Linked DNA regions of Oryctolagus cuniculus. The protein of the gene in region 2 binds, or shares a complex with, the protein of the main gene of each other region. Links are inferred from orthologs where the notes say so. Each region holds a gene or a part of one and is shown on either strand. Other genes may lie near its edges.

Evidence for each region.
Region 1: INTS4 (region 2) and INTS6 share a complex: the UniProt entries of both Homo sapiens proteins name them as parts of the integrator complex. The link is inferred for Oryctolagus cuniculus from reciprocal best matches to the Homo sapiens genes INTS4 and INTS6.
Region 3: the proteins of INTS4 (region 2) and INTS9 are in contact, whole or in part, in a cryo-EM structure (PDB 8RC4), measured with the Homo sapiens proteins. The link is inferred for Oryctolagus cuniculus from reciprocal best matches to the Homo sapiens genes INTS4 and INTS9. Residues at the interface, in NP_291025.3 of Homo sapiens: Leu53, Gln54, Leu57, Gln58, Arg61, Lys62, Pro86, Ser87, Leu90, Lys91, Ser94, Gln125, Gln129, Asp132, His164, Gln207, Asp208, Pro209, Arg210, Arg212, Asp244, Tyr245, Glu246, Gln247, Trp296, Phe837, Gly840, Leu841, Val842, Val843; in NP_060720.2 of Homo sapiens: Lys2, Tyr4, Lys18, Ser21, Thr22, Leu43, Val44, Gln45, Glu87, Glu89, Leu90, Asp92, Asp97, Thr122, Glu145, Arg146, Val147, Pro148, Lys159, Glu174, Ser176, Thr177, Ser192, Gln195, Phe206, Gly207, Ile379, His380, Ser384, Asn385.

Annotation. Positions count from the first base shown.
Region 1 is NC_091440.1:70,841,642-70,845,386, reverse strand, and holds the start of INTS6 (integrator complex subunit 6), read left to right. Parts: upstream 1-1,501; 5' UTR 1,502-2,048; coding exon 2,049-2,159; intron 2,160-2,304; exon of another isoform or gene 2,305-2,394; intron 2,395-2,541; coding exon 2,542-2,619; intron 2,620-3,409; coding exon 3,410-3,559; intron 3,560-3,745. UniProt on the Homo sapiens protein: Component of the integrator complex, a multiprotein complex that terminates RNA polymerase II (Pol II) transcription in the promoter-proximal region of genes.
Region 2 is NC_091432.1:69,001,849-69,005,493, forward strand, and holds part of INTS4 (integrator complex subunit 4), read right to left. Parts: intron 3,559-3,645; coding exon 3,401-3,558; intron 3,196-3,400; exon of another isoform or gene 2,981-3,195; intron 1-2,980. UniProt on the Homo sapiens protein: Component of the integrator complex, a multiprotein complex that terminates RNA polymerase II (Pol II) transcription in the promoter-proximal region of genes.
Region 3 is NC_091433.1:45,205,006-45,208,750, reverse strand, and holds the start of INTS9 (integrator complex subunit 9), read right to left. Parts: upstream 2,441-3,745; 5' UTR 2,275-2,440; coding exon 2,266-2,274; intron 1-2,265. UniProt on the Homo sapiens protein: Component of the integrator complex, a multiprotein complex that terminates RNA polymerase II (Pol II) transcription in the promoter-proximal region of genes.

The DNA.
Region 1 (3,745 bases), on a different chromosome or scaffold from region 2:
ACTCTTACAAGTATCCATACCTCTTCTATGGTCCACACTTACAAAACACTTTTCACTGAAATAGCCTGACTATAAATTAACAAAAAATCTCCAAGGTTGTCATAAATATCGGGAAGTTTTGAAACTCAAGATTTTAAAAAAAAATGCCACAACATGTCTTCTGTGTTAATAGGAACAATTTCTTTAAATGATCAGTAGGCACATAAAATTTCAAGATTAAAGAATAAAATCTGGAAAGGACAGGCTAACGGGAGGCGTCCTACAAATTAGCTATCCCTACAAAGGCCGCTTAATTAAGTCTCTTAATTGTATCTAAGGCAGTCTTCATTTTTTTCAGCGAGTTCGAGGAAGCTGTTTTTCTCGGAGCAGATTCATGACTTCAGGTAAGGCAGGGGCTTGACCGAGACTGCTTCTCACACACACACACGGGTTTTGGAGTTGGAGGGGCTGCTTGTAAGGGAGGGTTCTGGGAACCCCCGTCACTGTGTTATCTGGGCAAGTTCATGTCAGGTTTTTCACTTTAAAATGAGGGCAATGGATGATTTGCTAAAGTCCCTTTCAACTCTGAAACTGATATCCTATGACCCTGAGTAAACAGCTTGGAAAAAGTCTTTTTCTCTGGGAAGGAGCAGTTACGTTTGCTCAGGATAAAAAGGGTAGCAAAGCACTTATCCATAAGCTCCAGTCTCTCCCTAGGCCGTTCCCGGGTTCGGCGGCTTTCTGGGTGCCCCTTCCGACGGCAAGGCTCCGGGTCTGCCGAGCGCCGCCCTCAGCCTTCGGCCGTCGCCCCCGCAGCGCCCGAGGATCCGGGCGAGGCGAGGCCCTCGGGCCCACTCCCCAGCGGGAGCGGTGTGACTCGCCGCGATTAGTCCCCGGTCATAAACAACCTCTCACTTCCCCTCCCCCGCCCCGGGCCCGCCCGCGCTGGGCCGGCCCTCCCAGGCCCGGGAACCTCCTCCCGCCACCGCGGGTCCCGAGCCTTCCTCGCGAGGGCGGCCGCGGGCCTGCCCCCTGCCCTTAACCGAGTGTGTGTTCACTTTACTCAGCCCTCCTCGGTCGTCCACGTTACCAGCGACCTCGGAGGGCGAGCTGAGGACAATCTCCATTTGCCTTCCTCCGACCCCTGTCACCTCCAACAGCCAAGGAGAGGCCAGTGGCCCTGACGCGCAGGCTCACAGTGGCGGCCGCCCTGCGCGCGCCGACGCAGCCCCCGCCCCCCACCTCGCGGTCCTTCCGAAGCCAGTCCCCGCCCCTTCCCAGAGCCCGCCTCCGCGACGGCCCGCCTGCTCGTCCCTCGCGCTCGCTCTCGCGCGCACCCGACGCCCCGCCTCCGCGCATGCTCGATAACAACCCTCAGAGCCGGCCTACAAGCAGCCCCCGCCCCTGACCTGTTTGAATATGCTAATAAGAGCCTCGGGATTAGCCAATGGAGCTGCGGGGCGGTGCGTCACGTGGCCCGGGGACGTGTCAGGGGGCGGAGCCCCCGCAGCCCCTACCCGAGTTAAAACCGGAGTGTGAGAGAGAAAAGCGCTTCAGTAGCGAGAGGGGCTGAGAAAGTGGTGACACCGCCGGGGTGCGGAGGGAGTCCCTGAAACTTCTCCCAACAGCCCCAGGGCCAATCTCCCCTCAGCCCACTCCCCTCTTCGCCAGCTCCCAGGTCCCCACTCCCTGCACCGGGGGTGGGGTGGGGGAGCCAGGCCCGTCTCCCGCTGGGACACACACAGGGGCCGGGAGCGGGGACGGGACCCCCGAGGCGGGGGGGACGGACCGACAGACAGACGGCCGGGCGCCCGCCCCAGCGGGCAGGCAGGCAGGAGGAGGCGGAGGCGGGGGTACGACGGGGAGGACTGGGTCTGGGGAGTTTCCTCTCAACTATCGGGGGAGAAACTCCCCGCAGCCGGAGGAAAGACCCAGACGGTGTTTTCCTCCCGGGGGCCGCGCTCCCCCGCCCCGCGTAGCGGCGGCGACTGCCGCCGCCACCGGCGCCTCCACCTCTACCATCTCCTCTTTCTCCACCACCTCGGGCCCCGGTGTCCCCGGCCAGCACTATGCCCATCTTACTGTTCCTGATAGACACGTCTGCCTCTATGAACCAGCGCAGCCATCTGGGCACCACCTACCTGGACACGGCCAAAGGCGCGGTAGAGACCTTCATGAAGGTACCGACTGACCGAGCCCGGGGCGGCGACCCCGGCCCGGCGGCCCGCGGGCGGCAGGGTGGGGGAGGGCGGCTGGGGGCGGCGGGGCGGGGGTGTCGGGGACCTGACTGCGGGAGCTGCCGGGCTCCGGGACCCCCTCCCCCACCGCGCGGGCGGGCGGGCGGGCGGGCGCTGCGAGCCGGGCTCGGCCCGGGCCCGGGCTCCGGCCCCGGGGCTGGTGTGTAGGGAGCGATCGGTGTGTGTGGGGCGGCGTGGAGGGGTGGCCGCTGCGTGTGCGGATACTGTGGGGGGCGGCGGGGGACGCTGGGCGCCCCTTCTTCGCCTCGTAACCTCGCCTCTCTGCTTCCCTCTCGCCCGCCCCGTTCCTCCTCCCGGCCCGCAGCTCCGTGCCCGGGACCCTGCCAGCAGAGGAGACAGGTATATGCTGGTCACTTTCGAAGAGCCGCCCTATGCTATCAAGGTAACAGCCCTCGCCCTCCCCCTTCCCTTCCTTCCCTTCCCTGTTCCTTCCTCGCTCGCCCTCCCCGCCCCCCCATTCACCCTTCATTATGCTCCCCTCCCCCACCCGCTGCGCTCCCGGGGCGGAGGGCCCTTCCCCTGCGGGCTCCCACCCCCCTCCCCCGCTCGGGAGCGTCCCGGCGCGGCGCGGACTCGCCGGGCCACCGCCGTCCCCTCCCCGGCCCGGCCCGGCCCCGCGGCGGCAGCGGCGGCGGCGGCGGCGCTGCGATCAACATGGCCGACATTTCCCCTCCGCGGCGTGAGCGGCAGCAATGAACTGTGGGGGATATTTATTCAAGTTAGCCCGAGTGACAGCCGGGCCCGGCCGCGCCGAGCCCCGGTTTGCATTAAAGGGGAATCAGGCGCGCCGAAGGGGGCTGCGAGGCTGGGGCTGCTCGGATTCGCCCTGGGAGGGCTGCTGGAGGTTAACTTCCCAAGTGCCGCTCCCGGCCGCCTGCCCCTAGGACGTTTGCATCCCCACATTTTGAGTGTTAGATTAGGTAGTAGATTTCCCAGTGTGAAGTTAGAAAGTGTGCAGGCTGCTGGCTACCAAAAGCTGTAGAGCAGGCCGGTTGCTTGCCGGCTACCTTTGGCAGAGAGTTTCCTCAGCAGCGATAACAGTATTAACACGTTAACCCAACCATGTCAACCCAAAGTGAAGCAGCTACATGGTGCACGTCAGATTGTAACGGCTGGCCGTGTGCATTTAGCGTTACAGGAAGAAAAAAAAATTCTCACGTTTTTCTTTTCAGGCCGGATGGAAAGAAAACCATGCAACGTTTATGAATGAACTGAAAAACCTTCAGGCTGAAGGACTTACGACTCTTGGCCAATCCCTAAGGACAGCTTTTGATTTATTAAATTTAAATAGATTAGTAACTGGCATAGACAACTATGGGCAGGTAGGTTGAATATTAAAAGTGGAAAAATAGTTGATTTTTCTTGTGGGGAAAAAGAAAACAGCCCAGTCCCAAACTATCTAAGGTGAAGTGCAAGTGTGGAACATTTCAGAGTAAAATACAGTATGCACATAGTACAAAGGTGAAGCTCCGACTTACTGTGCATGGTTTTATATCCCTTAGTTTCTT
Region 2 (3,645 bases):
ATTCTTCTGGGCTCAGGGCCAACACTTCATTTAGTGGCCTCTAAAACTAAGTAAATTGGTGAAGGCGAAGAAAAAGAGAATATGACTGAGGTATCACTTCACAAGTGATGCAGCAAGGAACAGAATCTTGGCTCACAGAGCCAAGGACTGTCCACAGCTTATGAAGAGGCAGGACACTTTTTCTGTAAAGGTCAGAGAATCTATATTATGGGCTTTACCAGCCATATGGTCTCTGTGGCAAGTATTCAATGCCCTATCATAGCATGGAAACAGCCACTGACAATACCTGAATGAATGAGTGTGGCTGTCTTTCAATCACATCTTACTCACAAAAGCAGGCAGCAGACCATATTTAAAGCACTGCTTCTGTCACACTGCAAACACTCAATAAATATCAAAAATATGACTGAGCAAGAGAACAAATTATGGTGCTAAAATCACTTCATGTGTTTGAAATCTTTATTGTTACTGATCACAGAGATGGTATCACACGAACACTTCATCACTTAGAATATCACTGAGCCTTAGCCTGTGTAGCCAATGCAGCTTCTTCACACTACTTGGCTTTCTTTACCAGGTTCCAACTTGATAAGGATTTGTGTCATTCCAATCATTATGCAACAAGCTTTCACTCTTTTGAGTTCTGCATCATTACTGGCAGTATTGCCTCCAACAGTTTATGATATTAAGTCCATAGCAGTATTCTCTTGTCAGACTGAAAAAGCTTGCTCGCTGGGACCTTGTGAACTTGCCCTACTAGGGGCTCAGAGCCACTGGAGGCCCTGCTGCCAGAGTAGCTGAAGGAACCTCAGAGTGGCAGAGCCCCTACAGGCCTCTGTGCAGCCTTCCCAGAGCACAGCAAGGAACACCCCCTGGAAGCGGTGCAGGAGGCTACTTGTGCCCTTGGTGCCACCCACAATCATATACACAGGGGCAGGCATTCTCAGCCCAGCTCAGCCTGCCCCATGGCACTGCCACAGGAGCCTAGAACAGGCTGTGACATTTTATAGGGTTAGTGGATTACCAGACTATTCATTTACTACTCCCAATTTCTCACTCCCACCAATGTCCAACTAGTTACCAAGTCTCCTAATGAGTGATCTAAAACACACAGAAATTTGGTATTTGGGCTATGTGAATCTGGCTTCCTCACACATATTCCAATCTTCACTTAATGTAACTTCCTGGACTGCATTGCCTGTGAAGTTAAAAACTGCATTTCCTTTGGAGGCAGGAGTTGTGGTACAGCAGGTTAAGCCAACACCTATGATGCCAGCATCCCATATGGACACCGATTTGCATCCCAGTTGCTCCACTTTTAATCCAGCTGCCTGTTAATGTACCTGGGAAAGCTGCAGAAGATGACCCAAGTGCTTGGGACTCTGTACCCACATGGGAGACCGGATAAAGGTACTGGCTCCTGGCTTCAGTGTGGCTGGGTCAAGCAGTTGCAGCTATTTGGGGAGTGAACCTATGGATGAAAAATCTGTCTCTCCTCCATTCTCTATAACTCTTTCAATAAATAAATAAATAAATCTTTAAAAACAAATAGAAAAACTACAGTTCCCAGACTCCCTTGAGCTAATTTCCACATACGAACCATCAAACACAACCAGTCAAACACAATCTCCCAAGTTGTGCATAAGGAATGAATTCAAGTGGGAGACAGAGTACAAGACAAGGTTGTGAAGCCAACAGCTAGATCACTAGCATCCTGACTCAAAGGTAGCTTCTTCATTATAGAAGGAATACCAGCTCTTTTGGTGGTCTAATAAGCTCTGGAAATTCAACCTGGACTGTATCTTTAGCCTTCCCAATTATTATGTGAGTCATATAACATACTGTCACACATTTTTCTCTGCTGAAATTAGGAAAAGCCTTTTTTTTTTCCCTACAAATGAACCCTGAGCAATTAACTTGCCTAAGGACACACAACTATTAAGTAGTTGAGCTGACACTTGAACCCACATCAATCTACTTTGAAAGCCCCATTCACTCAATCCTAAACTGCACCACTGCAGCTTTGCAAGGAGACCTTTCTCCCTCATCTCCTGGCTCTTCAGAATTTCCCCCCATTACCTGCACTACCAAACTCACAAGCTCAGTCATCATTTCGTACTGGGTCTTCTTCTCTGCGAGGCATCCCTGACCACTACCACGTTGACGAATCACAGTCACATGTTTCTGCACAGCACTAAACTTCTCTCCACTATAGCATTTAGTCCATCAATGATTTCTCACTAGGTCCTGTAACACACACTGAGTACCTTGAGAACAAAGGCCATTTTGTATTTCCCTCTATCCTTGGCATCTGGTCTATTAGAATAAATACAAGGTTAATGTTGCAAAGTGAAAGAATGAGTAACTGACATGACCTAACATAATGGGGTCAGTAATGTAAAGGATGGTGCAGCAGAACTGCTTCACAACACATTAAGATGCAGCAATGGACAGAGACGCATGAGTAAAGTAGAAAGCACTACTCTGCACCGCCACACTGTCTATGTCCATCTTGCGTCCATGGGCTCTCTAAGGGCAACACCCTATCTGGCGATCTGCTTCCAGCATATAGCTTGTTTCTCAGTATGGAATAAAGTTATCCAGTCAGTGAATGCGGCTGATAGGAGACTTCTCAACCAAGCAACAAATAGTAACATATTTTTCTATTGTTGTAAAAACAAACAGTACTGCTTTTACTAAAGGCAAATGGGTTTCAATTCTTTTCATAGCATTCAGATCATTCTAATAAAGTCAGGCAGAACCTGTTGATTATTCTTCAGTATTTTTTTCTCCCCTTCGTCCTGAGTAAGAGTCATCAAATATTAACCAGGCATCAGTTACCCAAAATAAAGACTACATCTCACTTAAGTTCTAACCTATGGGATGCAAATAAAATTAGAGTGTGCAATGTTTGGAGTGTACCTAACAAGGGGTGGGAATGGAAATGATCCCTTTTCTTGTTCTTTCCTTTGTCCCACAGGCAGGAAAATAGAGATTAGACCTTGGAAATTTAGGCAGAAGCCAAGTAGTGCAGAAGATGGAGACACAAGAACAAGCCTACATTTACAATGGTCATCTCAGCATTTTTCCTGTCTATGAAAGAGAATTAAACTTTCCTCCTAATAAGCCACTGTTACATTGCATTTCTGTCATCGATCCTAACTCATAGACAAGAAATAAAATTTTAAAAGTTTCTTTTGTACTGATCAAAGAGTTTTTTTTAAAAAAATATATTGAAACCACACTAAGACCCAAATGGCAATAGTTCCTAAAACCATGTGGGAAAACAGGCCAAAAGTCAGAAAATCAAGCCTAACAACCAACACCAGCATTCAAAACCATTCAAACAGAGCAGGACGGCAATGCAAACTCAGAAAGAGAAAAGTGACGGTTGCCATACCTGATGGTGAACTCTAGCAGCTCCTGGGCACCCTGAGGGTCCAGGTGCTGAAGACTGTACACTCTTTCCAGGCTCTCCTGCAGGAACTGCTGGGAAGGGTCCTCATGAGGAGTGATGCTGGGAGAGATGGCTGATGACAACACTTTTCTACCTGGTAACTAAACAAACACAGCGGGATTATAAAGCTATCAAGTTTCATGGCTCAACATTTGGTAACACAAAGAAACCACACAAAATGAAAGCCA
Region 3 (3,745 bases), on a different chromosome or scaffold from region 2:
GGAAAAATCAATTTCTACTCTTTTCCATGTTTTCACATTTTAAAATAAATTATGAAGGAGGATTTAATGGACAAATCAAGTTACATGTTAAGTGAATCCTGGTTCTCTGGCACCTTCAAAAATGAACTGTTATGGAGAAAACTTTTTGGTACTTCTCTGCCTTCTCAAACAGAGCCTATCAAATACACTCTATCCTTTACTGAGGACACAGGGTCTGCATTCCAACTGTTAAGGTGACAAGCTCTTTTGCCCTATAGACAAAACTCTTTTCATGGAATGCTTTGGCCTACTTTTCCTTCTCATCAGTTCAAGTGCCACCTTTCCGGGACGGGTAGTGTTGCACAGCAGGTTAAGCTGCCACTTGTAATGCCTGCATCCCACACTAGAGTGCCAACTTGATTCCTGCTTCTGATCCAGTTTCTTGCTAATATGGCTGGGAAGGCATAGGAAGATGGCCAAGCACTTGGGCCCCTGATACCTATGTAGGAAACCAGCATAGAGTTTATGTCTCCTGGCTTTGGCCTAGCCTGGATCTGGCTGCTGTACCAACCTGCACAGTGAACTGGTTGATGGAAGATCGATTTCTCTGTTGTCCCACCTTTTTTTTTTTTTTTTTTTTTTTTTTGACAGGCAGAGTTAGACAGTAAGAGAAAGAGAGACAGAGAGAAAGGTCTTCCTTTTTCCGTTGGTTCACCCCAAGAGGCCGGCACACTGCGCCAATCCGAAGCCAGGAGCCAGGTGGTTACTCCTCATCTTTCAAATATACATCTTTTTAAAAATTGATACCTCAAAAAAAGTCACCTTTCTGAAAATTGTCCTTACCTCCCACCCCCAATCACCAGTCAACTTAGTTCCCAAAACACAGAACATCCTTTATTTTAGCGTGAACACAGTGAATTACAGATAATTTTGGCTTACTTTTCTATCTTCTTTAGGCCACATGCCTTTTTAGGGCAAGGGCTGTGATTTTCAATTCTGTACCCCTAAATGCCTAGCACACTAACCACGAGGCAAACTGATACGCTCAAAGTTTACTGACCTGCATTGTGACCCTTTCAGGCATGCTTCAGGGGTGGGGAAGGTCAGGCCCAACCGGCGCAAGTCATTTGGTCTGGCCCTGCCAAATCATCCGCAGGCGGGACTTAAAATTCAATGTATCTATAGCAGGCTCATTTTCAAGTTGATACTTTTGTGTGGCCCAAGAATGATGTTCTAAACATCCAAATGGCCCTTGGCAGAAAAAAGGTTCCCCACCCCTGAAAGGGAGACAGTTTGGGAGCTGAAGCTACTTTTAATACTTTCCTCACAGAAAACAGCTGGTGGGTTATCAGATGAGAGTGTGTGGGCTGTGTGGCTCAGGAAAGCCTATTCAAATAATTACAGAAATGGGAAAAAGAAAGTTTGCTTTTATATAACAATTACAGAAAGAAAAACTGGACAATCATTTGGCTGCAGGAACACAGATTTTTAAAGTGTTGAGAAACAGCATTTCACACCTGTTTTTCTTCTCTCCTAATTACACTATTACTAATCTGAAACAGCTGGAATAAGCTGACTTTTTGGATCTGTGCACACAATGACAATAAAATGGCTCAAAACAAAGGTCTGAGAAGCTTTCCTGTGAGCCAGCATTGAAGCTTTGCAATGCAAAGATTTCTCCAGGTAGAATGGCAGCTGCATCAAGCTTTGGTCTTGCAGTCCCTACAATCTCAGAGTGGAATGCCTTGACACTTCCTCTCTGCCATCCAGATCCTAGGCAGTGTTTGACTCAAATCTTCCTACATCATGCTCTGACCTCGTTCTTCTTTGGATTCGAAGGGCTGTTAGTAGTTGGTAACAGGAAACGTAATGAGTGATTACGTTCTGCCCAACATTTTCTACTCTGTTCGAATCTGATCAGCCTTCCAACGACGGTAGGGAGACGGGCTAATCAAGAGCCAACTGAATGGAAAGAGGTTGTTAATCCATCCTAACATTGGGAAGCTGAGAAGCAAGCCCAAACCTAGCTCATAGGGCCCAATCTTAGCTCACAGGTGAATATTACGGTCAACCTCTTGCCTCCCAAAGTGAATAAAACCTCCTGGCAGCTTTATGTTGGGGGTTAGGGGGGCCAGCGGTCAGGAGAGGCAATTCAAACCTTCTCCACAACAAAAGCAGCTCTCCTCCACCCACCCCCCTTTCCACGGAGAACCGTGACTGTTCCTTGCCCATATCCAAAATGGCACGGCATCACTTTTGCCCTCCGACCTAGGAGCGAAGACTCACCAGTTTCATAATGGACTTTAGGTTTTTCAGTATCTGTCTCAGGACTCCTCAACTCCAGCATGTGTCTTCCGGTTCAAGCTCCTTCTCTGGCCCGCCGAGAGCATCGCGGGACTTGCAGTCTTTCTTCCTCACGCCCCCTTCCCGGACCATCATGGGAAATGTAGTCTTCCTTCTGGGCATCATGGGAACTGTGGTCGTCTTTCCTTTTCCTCCCTTTACTAGCCGAACGCCTCCTTCCGTCGGCTCAAATTCATCCCCGCCGCCAATTCATCCTCCCTCTCCACCCCAGCATGATATCATGTCCCCTGTATGGGCCTGGGACCCATGGTATTCTGGGATATGTAGTCCCGACGGCCTCGTCCCCGCTTTCCCCGCCTCCCTGTGGGAAGGCGGATGGGCGCGAGACTTGCCGGGAGCTGTAGTTCCCTGGGGCCTCCAGACGCCGAACTCGGTGCTTTTACTCAGGGGAGGCAAGAACTACAACTCCCAGGGATGCCTGGCTGCAGCAGGTGGGAGCGGGGCTGTTGATATCAATATGGCGGTTGTCAGCCAGACAAAGACAGTCAGTCTGATGTGATTGAGACAAGGGAGGTTTTGAGGGGGAGACTGGGAGATAGGGGCCTCCCCTCCCCCTTCTCCTCTTCCTGCGCCGGCCTCAACCCCTCCCCAGTCCCCTCCCGACGGGCGCCCCACGCGGAAGACACCCCTCCCCCTCCCGCTTTCCCTCCTCCCTACCTCAGCCCTTCGTACTGGGACGTTGGGGAGGGGGCTGTGCCGGGCGGAGAGAACTCAGCAAGGATTCTGAGGTGAGTCGAGTGGATTTGAAGCCGGACTACCTCAAGTCTGTTTCTTTACTTCTTTCTCTTCACTTAAGAAAATTTGGTGTGGGGGGGAGGGGTCTGGGGAGAAAGTGAGCGGACGCTGGGGATGGGTCTCCTAAGCGGCCGGATTGAGAGGAGGGAGGAAGCAGGGGGCTTCCGAGTGAGTGACCGGGACACGGGGTGTGGGGTGGGGCAGTTTGCGAGGGACAGGAATTGAAAGGCGTCGACTGCTCCCCAACTCTTTTCTCCTGGTTTCTTCCTCTACTATGGGCGGAAGGTTGGAGGTGGGGGTCTCCTGCTTGGAGTTTGGGAAACTACGAGGTGATTTTGAGGTGTGTCGGTGTGTAGAACTGTGTTTTAAACTGTGTGACGTGTACTTCAGTGCTGCGCTCGTCTTGAAGAAATGTCTATAGATAGGAAGTTAGATCGCTAGAGTCATAGCTAGTCCTGGGCCTGGGCTGAGAAGCGTGCGTTGAGGTCCTGGTGCTGGACGTTTGGGCTGGCGACGTGGTGCGGGGTTGCTGGACTCAGCAAGTCGTTTATGTCCCATTGCCCGCTCACATTCCGCCACCCGCCTCCCGTCCCCTCCCCTGGTATAAATCTCCACCCCAAACTCCGGGAAGGAGAATTGTGGAGATGATGTGGTGTGGAGATGATCT